3 linked regions of the Kluyveromyces lactis genome follow. The protein of the gene in region 1 interacts with the protein of each later gene in a biochemical or structural test. Links are inferred from orthologs where the notes say so. Each region holds a gene or a part of one and is shown on either strand. Other genes may lie near its edges.

The links.
Region 2: the proteins of KLLA0_F03729g (region 1) and SAR1 form a complex in vitro, tested with the Saccharomyces cerevisiae proteins (3 studies listed by BioGRID). The link is inferred for Kluyveromyces lactis from reciprocal best matches to the Saccharomyces cerevisiae genes SEC24 and SAR1.
Region 3: the proteins of KLLA0_F03729g (region 1) and SEC16 form a complex in vitro, tested with the Saccharomyces cerevisiae proteins (2 studies listed by BioGRID). The link is inferred for Kluyveromyces lactis from reciprocal best matches to the Saccharomyces cerevisiae genes SEC24 and SEC16.

The regions. Positions count from the first base shown.
Region 1 is NC_006042.1:351,555-355,645, forward strand, and holds KLLA0_F03729g (uncharacterized protein), read right to left. Parts: upstream 2,937-4,091; coding exon 162-2,936; downstream 1-161. Other genes in the region: KLLA0_F03751g (putative metalloendopeptidase), read left to right, coding at 3,885-4,091. UniProt on the Saccharomyces cerevisiae protein: Component of the coat protein complex II (COPII) which promotes the formation of transport vesicles from the endoplasmic reticulum (ER).
Region 2 is NC_006038.1:177,260-179,805, reverse strand, and holds SAR1 (Arf family GTPase SAR1), read right to left. Parts: upstream 1,161-2,546; coding exon 588-1,160; downstream 1-587. Other genes in the region: GTPase BMS1, read left to right, coding at 1-313; KLLA0_B02024g (uncharacterized protein), read right to left, coding at 1,638-2,546. UniProt on the Saccharomyces cerevisiae protein: Small GTPase component of the coat protein complex II (COPII) which promotes the formation of transport vesicles from the endoplasmic reticulum (ER).
Region 3 is NC_006041.1:2,123,999-2,128,107, forward strand, and holds the end of SEC16 (COPII coat assembly protein SEC16), read right to left. Parts: coding exon 624-4,109; downstream 1-623. Other genes in the region: MBA1 (Mba1p), read left to right, coding at 1-413. UniProt on the Saccharomyces cerevisiae protein: Involved in the initiation of assembly of the COPII coat required for the formation of transport vesicles from the endoplasmic reticulum (ER) and the selection of cargo molecules. Also involved in autophagy.

The sequences.
Region 1 (4,091 bases):
AGTCGAAAGTAGCCACAGATAGTTTGTAATGACAAACATGTATTCTTATGTTATACATATCACTTGTGTAAGGTTGTGTGCAAAGTAAGATTTTGCTATTTCATGGTTTCAATATCTACATAAAAAATGGTATGTACGCAACTTGGAAGCACCTTTTAAACTTACTTCGAGATTCTTGTCTTCATGTTTTGTAAGAATTCTCTGTAGTTCCAGCTGTTTTGGACCTTATCTTCGACCAACTGAGATGCAGTCCATAATCTTAGAGAAGCAACTTCCCTGGCAGAAGGATGGTTCATTGGTTCACTTGGTGAGGCGCCTCTGACAATGTGCAAGGTTTTGTAGAAGATAACATCATCGTGTTCTCTTATCTTTGTAATAACATTCCTCACTCTTAGGTTGAACTCAGTAGCGTCTAATAGAGGTAGTTCATTTTTACCAATTGGAATTTCCATAATGTCCGGGGTTCCAAACACGTCTGTAACAAGCTCTGGGACAGCATCACCGCCAATCCATAAGAACATGTCCAATCCTGTGTCGATTAAATACAGACCGTATCTTTCCAATAAAGACGAGGTGGAGTTAATTGGTTGCGGTAGTACAATTTCACCAGTTTCTTCATCGGGAAGACCAGCTTCGTCAGGCATGTCATGTAAGGAGTATACTGTTGGATAAATGTTTTGAATCAAATATGGCAATGGTAACGTTTCAAGATTATTTAATGCTTGAGCTCTGTGATCAGCCGGAACAATACCAGAACGGAAAGCCATATGTTTAGTTAGAGAATGCATCAATAGAGGCCACATTCTTAGGTTACTACAGAGCATTAATGGAGCTCCGCCACCTGTGTTTGAAGTCAAAACTTCTTTCTTGTATGTAGCCAAAACCTCTTGGACAGATTTGTTGAAAAATTCTCTAGTGTCTTCAAAGCCAGAAGAAGGAGCTCTTTCCACAGCCTTTTGAGCGAAGTATGCTGTGATGGCCAACTGATCTGCAGAAGCATAGACTTCAGTTAGCTTATCAGTAGTTGGAATACCAATAGTTATGACTCTAATTCTTCTTTGGGCAGCATTGGATGTCAATAATAAAGCAATTTGAATGTACACAAAGTCCTTTGTTAATTGTTCATCGATACCAATTTCAAAAACGTATGATTGGTCCCTTGGAACCGTAGCCAAAGCGCACAAGTCTGAAGATCTATTGAAGAAATGACCGTAAAATCCGGTCATTTTCAAGCCTGACGAACCACGAGCTCTCATAACAGCTTCCAAAGATAGATCCATGGATACGTGTTTTGAAAATTCTTTTGAGAACTTTGTAACATCGATCAAGTTTAAGGCACTGAAACCAGGGTAGAAATGGGTTTGGCCACCAGTGAAACGGCCTAGGTTAGAGATAGATGCGATATCGACATAATCGTCGGAAGCCATAAACATATCCACCGTAACTTGATATTTGTTACATTCGATAGGGAAAGATTTGTAGAATGCGTCACCAGTGTTCAATAAAGTGGAAGCTTCCTTGGAAGTATTTGCAACAGCCTTTTCATTTCTCTTATGTAATGTACCTTCACCGACGTTGGCCAAAGTGGCACCAACAACAATAATCTTACCACCCTGAGCTCTGATCAAGTTCAAAGCAGACTTTAGAGCAGAGGCCAAGGCAAATCTTGGTTGAATATTTTGTTGGAAAATTTCTGGTAAGCTAGTCAATAATTTTTCAATGTTGCTTCTAGCCTCAATTAGTGGAACCAATAGGCCAGTGGGAGAAGGTAAGAATGGTTCATCCAAGTCAGCGACGTCGTACATCTTAATGTTGTCACCTTCTTCGTCCAAAGGAATACGGAAGTAATGTAGAGATTGATCAACACAAATAATAGAGATTCTTGTTCTCTCATCATGGTTTGGAATGGTATCCAAGCTTTCCAAGAGAGTTCTTGCAGCAGTAGCCAACAAGCCATTCTTGATTGATGCCTGAGAAACGTCCAAAATGAAAGCGTAAGTGGATGGTGGTGGTGGTCTGACAGCGTATTCTTTAGGAGCAACGAAATCCACAACAGAATGGTTGAATTCGGGTCTCTCGTAACGGTTACCATTCATATCAATTGCTTGAGGGAAGTTGTTCGCCAAGTTACAGAAGTTACATCTCCAACGTAAACCATTCTCGATTACTTGTACGAAGGGGTTCAAGTAGGCACGACAACGTCTACAACGAACCACAACACCGTCTTCGCTAGTTGGCACTGGACATTCAGAGTCGGTTAACTTAGTGTATGGTCTGATAACCATAGCTAATGGTAGTTTCGATTTTTTCAGTAAAGAATTGTTTTTTGGAACGGCGTTCAAAGTGCACCTTAAATGGTCAGAACAATTGTTAACTGTATCGTTAGGAACAATCATCTTCTCTGGAGGGAGCATCAACGGTGGTGGAGGCAAAGACAAGTCAGTGATTGGAGGAGGCAATTCTTGGAACAAATCAACTGGGTACAATTGATTCATTGGTTTACCCACAGCCATTCCTACTCCTGGTTGTTGATATTGTGGTTGCTGCTGCTGTTGTCCGTACGTTTGCCCATACGGCTGTTGCATTGGCTGCTGATACTGCTGCTGAACACCGGATATGTTATCGGCGCCGTAGCCACTGTTCATTGGCTGGCCATATTGAGGAGCCCCACCGTATGGTGGTTGTTGCACCGGGGTTCCAGCTTGCTGGAATGCAGTAGGATCAACCACAGGAACGTTGTGTAATTGCATATTACCAATGCCGTTACTTGCTTGGTCGATCTGTTGATGCAAATGTTGTTGAGCAGGAGTCAGAAATTGCGGCTGTCCAGCACCTACAGTTTGCGGAGGAACACCTCCACCAACAATTGGCTGTGCAATCCCTTCTGCAATTTGGTACTGAGCCTGAGGATAAACACGCTTCTTATGGTGTGACATGGTTCAGTATAATTTGATCTCCTGTATCACTCGATTGTCTGTAACTCTTTCTCTTTTATCTGCAAAAAATACAATGCAAAGAGCCTTCTCCTTTATAAACTTCTGATAAGTCGCCTAGATCCTGACACAGTTATTGACTCTACCAAGTTGAAGATCCAAAAGAGTAGATGCCTCAATCGATGGCAATTGAATATCAAATGTGTGTATTGTTTTTATAATTTTCGGCCCGTTTTGTTATTGTCGAAGAATCGAAATTTGGGTTTTTGGATTTTTGAAATTTTTTTTTTATTTGGTTTCCTTTCAAGATAACTGCTAAATAAACTGACGCGGTTTGAGAGGCTTTTTCCAGCGTATGTATATGGTTGCTGCTTTATTAGCCAATTGCTCAGTCGATGTTAGCTACATATATTGTATTTCTTTGATCATTGACATATGTGTATTGTATGCTGCAGTTCGTATTTGTATATTGACAGCTGTCAGATTTTAATAATAATATTCGGGTAACATCATAGTTCGTGTTCTCTCAGAATCACATAGTTAAGTAATTAATGTCGACGTGGTCATTGTAGAAGATAAAACTTTCGGGCAGATTGTGGGTCACTGATACTCCCTCCAGACACTGTACGGGCTTTAACGAACCTACCTGTGGTTATGCAGTGCTTTATTTGTTGATGGATATTTAGAGATATAAACCTTGCTATATCACGTGATATGAAAGTTCGAGGTCTGCTTATTTTATTTACAATGTGCGTAGATTTTGGATCAGATCTTTAAACAAGATGTCTCGAAGGTAAAACGATTTTAAATACGAGCAATCCATCCATTGTTCCTAGTATTCGATATCATAAGGTTCTACACTGGTAATTCAGCTAATACCTGTGACTGACACTCAAATCTGCTTCTTTTTCCCACTGGTACACCATAGAATACCCTTAATTAAATCAAGTGATGTCCCAAATCCAATTTTACAACATCAAGAACGGAGAAGAGGTTCATACACCCGCACTTATTGTCCACGGAAATATAAATACAAATGCCAATTCTGTCCAAGTGCATCATTCGCAGCTCCCTCCCTTAACGTTTCCCGTTAACAACCACGGATTCAAGTGCATTATTTCTTTGACTCCTGGTGAAAACTTACTATGGTTCACTGGA
Region 2 (2,546 bases), on another chromosome or scaffold:
GATCTATCAAATGAAACCGCAAAAGAAGAAAACATACATGGCTAAGAGAGCTGTCGTTCTAGGCGGCGAAGAGAAAAAGGCACGTTCCTTCATGCAAAAGGTTCTCACCATTTCGAATGCGAAGGATGAAAAGAAGAGATCCAAGAAAGCTGAAGAAAGGAAGGAAAGACTCAAGAAGCTTGCTAAGTTGGAGGAATCGAAGAAAGAAAAGGAGAAGCAACGTAAGAAGGACTTCTTCTCCAAAAACGGTAAAAAAAGACAATTCAACGACAATGACACAAGTGATGTTATGTCTTCCAAGAAAAGGAAATAAACTATGTATTTTAACCTATTTACATTGCATAATTTGAATGATAGAGTATAAAGTAATTGTTAAGAACCAAAATGAACTACTGTATTAGTTAAGAGTCGCATTTGGAGTTGATTCTGAGCTGGAGATTTTCTATGTTAATGCAATTCTAAGAGACCATGAGATTCTGAAACATAGCTAAGTATTTTATGCATATATGATTATAGTTATTCTTCTCCATGCTTATTAGGTGATATTTGCAGTTATTATATATCGTTAGTAGCGCTTGCTTAACTACTTAAATATATTCAGATAGCCACTTGAAGGCTTCAGAGTAACCAGACTTCATGACAACGGAACACATGAACAACTCGATAGGTCTTTGACCTTCAATTTTGGTATATCCAGTTGTGTTCATCAAACCCAATGCAGCTCTCAATTCAGTTTCAGAAACGGCACTTGGAGAGTCAATCTTGTTACCCAAGACAGCAAATGGAACGTTGTCCAATTCCTTGATTTGGAACAAAGCATCCAATTCAATACGTGCTTCGTTAAATCTCTCTGGGTCAGCAGCATCCACTAGGAACACAATACCATTAACTTCTGGGAAATAATCCTTCCACAATCTACGTGCTTGCAAATGTCCACCTAAATCAAAAGTGGTGAATTTGATATTACCGATCGCCAATTCTTCAGAAGTTGGGTGCCAAGTTGGTTGCAAAGTAGCTAATCTATCGTTCTTCAACATATGTAACAAGGTAGTCTTACCAGCATTGTCTAAACCTAAGAACAATAACTTACCATGCTTGTTCCATAATCCTAGGGATGATAGAATGTCCCTGAACCATCCAAATAAATCCCAGCCTGCCATCTTTTACTGTATTTTCCGTACAACAAATGAAGAGTCAATAAAGAATTAGTAGCTTAAAGTGCCGTAATTTTTAAGTCGAATTACTAACTAACAGTAACTAAATGAAGATCATAAACTTTGTTTTTAAAATATGCCTGCCTTTGTTCTTTTGAAAGACCAATCTGTTCATTTTCGTAAAACGGTCAAATGTTTCTTGATCTTCCTATTAATTGAAATCACTTGATACGATTGATATAAGATTACACATTACAACTATGTGAATATAACTTGGTATAAAAGAGCAATGCAGGATGTGAACGTGCGTTTATGAAAGAGCTTTGGAATCAGTTATTACGGAGGTGTATGGAAATTGCAACTTTTTAGATTTGCTTGTTGTTGTTTTTTCATTAGAAATATCAATTTGTGCTAAAAGTAACTGCTTCCTTTTATGCAAATACAGTTGATGCAAGAGTGCGCCGGAAATTACAATGGCGACCATCAGCTCAGGTTTATATGCTCATGTAGTGCGAGTACAGTTTTTATTGAAAGCTCAGTGATAAGAAGACCGTCTTGGGTGTCTTGTAGAATTAAAACTAAATTCAGTTCCAATTTAGAAAGAAGTTTCTTAGAGATACCACACACCTTACTAAAGTACGAATGGGAGTGTACATGATCTTCAAGTAACTTGGCAGCCAAACGGATGAATGCAATGAGCAAACGATGCGTCATGGATTCCGTGATCGGGTTTTCTAGATGAAATTTTCCACTTCCAGTGTCGAACTTTATGTCGCAATAGGTAACTAACAAGAAGGATGCTGTCAAATAGATAATTGGCGGGAATGAACATTTGGATTCGATTCTATCGAGATATTGGGATATGGAGAGAGTAGGAGCTGATTTCATCTGAAAGATTGCTCTAATATTGGAAGTTTCTTCGAGGTTCTCATGAGACCAATGATCTATCTCCATTTCTATGTCATCTTCGGTTTTTGACTTGGTCGCAGAGGGCTCATTATGCAAATTATCATTGTCATTAGAAGTGTCGCCACCGATATCACTATTTCTATTGTTATCATTATTATTTTGATTATTATTCTCATCATTAGTATTGTCATTATCATCATTGTTAATATTATCGCCATCGCTACTGGCATTATTATTGTTACTATTATTTTTATTTTTATTATTATTATTATTATTATTATTATTATTATTATTATTATCAGAATCATCATCATCAGCATTATCATCATTATTATCATTAACTTCGCCTTCATGATTTGTCATACCATTCTCAGCATTCTTACGCATATCAGAAGACAATAGGAGAGCGAGTTGCAGGAAATCATCGAGTATTTGTAAGGCTTCTCTGGATGTCATTTCTAAACCAAACACCTCATTATTGTT
Region 3 (4,109 bases), on another chromosome or scaffold:
TTGACGAGGCTTTGACAGCGAGAGCCAAACAAATCCCATCGAACATTACCTTGGACTGGGAATTGATTAAATTCAATGAAGTTCCAAAGTTAGTTTCCACACAAGCCATGATGATTCCCGGTCGTCCAGTTGAATTAATTCAATTGATTTATAAGTTTGATACCAAACAAAGGTTAATTAAGTTCGACAAGAAGAAAAGTAAAACTGATAAACTGGACAGAGATGTTATTGACTATATCGCTTTCCTTTGCGATGCAAGCACAAATGATATTCTATTAACTGGTTCTGTTTTTGAGAGTGCACCAGACGCGAAATTGCCAAAAGATAGCGAAACTTCGAACCAAATTGTAATCGAAAGAATGAAAGTTAACGGAGACTTGTTCAGAGTTCAACCACCTGTTAAAAAAGACTGATAAAAGTATATCTTAGTAATTAAAAGGCCTCGCTTTACGATACTACCTTGTAAATACCAATGTAAAAGATGATCATTAATGACTATATTTATTTATTTTCAGTAAATTCATAGACGTCGAAGTACACTAGGTTCATTTAACGCTATATGCAATACACTTGAGAACAATTTCGAAATTCAATTATCGGAAGAACTAGTTAACAAAGTGATGTTATAAATTTTCCATAACATTAACGTAACCTCTAGTCGATTTCTTTTTCCTTCTCGTCGACGATGCGCTGCTAACGCCTCCAGTCAATGCCATTAAATCATCTAGACCGTTTGCTTTTGACCCAGATAAGTTGACATTAGTATTCGAAACAGGTGGTTTCGAAGATACGGGTGATTCCGACTTTGTCTCTGCATCATCGGAGAAGTCTTTCACAGGATCAAGCGGTTTGCCGGTCAAAGGATTGGTGGGCATAACTGCGTGTGCAGTCCGTAACGCTGGACCTCCCACAACTGAACCTTGACGGGGTTTTATTTCAGGCGTTTTTGACATCTTACGCTTTACGACAGGAGGTGGTGGAGGTGGAGTCGCCACTTTCAATTTCTCTTCCTCAGTAGCATCCTTATTAACCCATCTTTTCAGGTTTTCGTCATAGTAAAAGTTATTCGCGTGTCCTAGTTTGGCCTTAATAGGTTTTTTCTCGTTAGAATCCTTCTTAAACCAGCCTAACCAACCTCCTGATGATTCGTTCTTCTGCTTCTTATCAGGTTTCCCGGCTTCATCCTCGCTCACAGTTTTAACTTCATCTTCATCTTCATCATTTTTCACTTTCTGGTTTTGATTTTCCGAGTTTCTTTCGGATATTTCCCTTTTTACTGAAATAGGTTCGTCTTCATCTTCGTCTTCTGTGTCTTCGACCAAGTCATCATAGTACTCTTCGGTATTAGTATCACTGACAATGAATGGTACGAAATTTGAGGTTTGAACCGGTCTGATTACAGGATCTTTGATTTTTGAAGAAGGCAATGTTTGTGAATCGTTCTGCAAGTGTGCCGGTAATCCAATAGATTTAACAGAAATCAAATTTTCTCCGAGACCAATATTAGAAGGAACAAAAGAATTTAGAGGTGGTGAGGACGTTTTGTTTTCAATTTCTTGTTTCTGTCCGTTTGGAGAATCAATAGTTTGCGGTTTGGCATCTTCACCGGACAGTTTATAGCTTCCATACGCATACATCGCAAGATCTTCTGGGCCACCTGTCTCATTAACTGGAGCACTATTATTATCATTGTTATAAGGCGAAGTTGAGGTTTGAGGCAGGGATGCCATAGAATGACTTTCCGTAATAGAAGAAGGTGAATACGGATTGTATGATTTTCTTGCAGTGCGTGGAGCAACACCGAAGCTATTCTTAGGTGCGTAAGGGTTCGCAGGTTCTGCTTTGTCTACACTCATATTTTTCAAAGAAGAAGGTTTAGAAGAAATAGAAGAGGCCGGGGAAAAAGAGTTGAGCGGTTGAGCTTGCGTGACGGGAACATTAATATCGGTTACTTGATTTTTGTCCTCTTCTTGCAAGTTTTCTGCAACAGGTAACTGATTGGTGACGTTTAACTGAGAAACAGACCCTTCAACGCCAGAGATCGAATTTTGTTCGGTACTCTCGAAATTGTTATCGTCTGAAAACTCTGAGTGCTGTAATTCATCTAATTCTGCATCAATTTCATTCCCAATCTCTTCCACAATGTCATCAACTACCGAATGTTGTTCATTTTCATGGAAACGAGGTGGCGCATTACTCCCAGTTTGGGTAGATTCAGTGGTTAAACCCGAGGTGACTGTATCATCGAATAGATTTTCTAACGGTAGTGCCTTATTGGAAGTAGATGATTGATGCTTCGTTGATTGTGGAGAGACTATTGGGGAAGGAACGCAGAATGAAGCAGTATTTTGGTTTGGCACACCCATCTTACTATAGAGTCTGTGGCCAGAAGAGACTGAAGAATTGCCATCTGATAAATCGTGATGGATTTGATATCCAGGGTATACTTGAGCTAAAGGTGGCAGTACAGGTTCAGGTGTAGAGTTGGAATTTGGCAGTTCTTTTTGTCCGAGAGAGGTTGCACCAGAGGGATTAACATAGTTATCAGGCTCTTCAAAGTGTGATGGATGTACAGTGTTACGAGCAGATGCAGTGGAGTTCAAAGGTTCTATATTAGAATGGCTGCCATAGAGCTCCCCAATTTTAGACTGAGGTTTCATATCACGTAGTGGTGGTGGACCGTATTTAGAATGAGTTTCTCTACTAGGTAATGATGAGGCCGGTAGGATTTTCGTAGTTGATTTAATGAGCGAGCTGTTATTGGACTGTAGCTGATTGATATGTGAGCGATTCAACGCAGGAGTCAAATAGGATGCTGCTTGTGATAAATCTGCCATGGATGGGTTTCTCGAAGAAGTTGGTGTAAACTTCTCAAAGACCTTGTCTTCAATTGCTGCTGTTTCTGACTCATCAATGTCTGTGTCACCTCCGATAAACTTGTTGAAGGATTTGTCAAGCTGTCCCCATACGCTGCTTAATTTTGGCTTCCCTAACCAGCCTACATTACTAGACGATAGTTGATTACTCAAATCTTCAATATAGCGTAATGTTTTCAAGGTAGTCTCTGAGTTCTTAGGAAGTGATTTTAGCATACTTTGGGCCATATCCATGTATTTTGTTGACGAACTGTTCAAACCGTAGTCACTTAAACCAGCTGCATGAATTATCTTCTGCGGTATCAATGACGTGAATCCGGAGAATGATGGATCTTTCTGACCGTACGTAAATTCGTATATTTCCGATAAGATCAAACTTTCAAATGAGTTTGGGCAGCAAATGTATTCGAATGTTGTAGAAGAAAACGGAATCAAAGGCTCTTCGGACATTGGAATATCGGCAACGATAAAAGCGATGGAACCAGCAATGACAAGACCTCTGCTGACCAAAAGCTCTCCGAATTGAAGCAAAAATTCCACCACAATAGGGGAAAGTTTTCCATTCGCAGGCACCTCCTCACAATTGTTTAGAATACATGCAATCAATAACTTCCAGTTATTTAGAGACCACTCTAGTTTCGTGGGATCTTGTTTAAAAGAATCTATCACCTTTTTAGAATTGCCAATGAAAACCTGGAAAATTGTAGCCAATAAATTAATAGAAGAGATGTCTCGTTCGTTGCTTTGCTCAAATTCTTGTGTCAAATACTGGTCCACAACTGACGACCATTTTTCCTTTCCTAGGATACTACCCAATAGTAATGCCATAGCATAATCTTTTAAAGCTAGAGAAAGATTTAAAGCATCGTCATGTGCGCCTGTTTGCAATAACGTTAAAACTCTAATCAAAGAATTGGCATCGAGTTTGTGAGCATTCGGGGCAGCAACCTTTGGAATGAACGGCTGAGACAAATAAGGAAGCAATATACTGGAATCGTAAATTATATTTGTCACAGCTTTTAAACTGTAGGATGGATCCAAACGCAGTTTTAAGAGCTCAAGCAAAATACAGGTATCATTCGCACCCTTTAGTTTCTTCTCTTCAATATAAGTATCTAGCCACTTAGCAATATCTTTGGATTTTGATTTTCCCTTGATTAGCGGACCCGGAAACTGTTCAAGAGTCTTGTCAAGAGTCAAAATGGAGTCGTTCGAAATAACATTAATTGAATC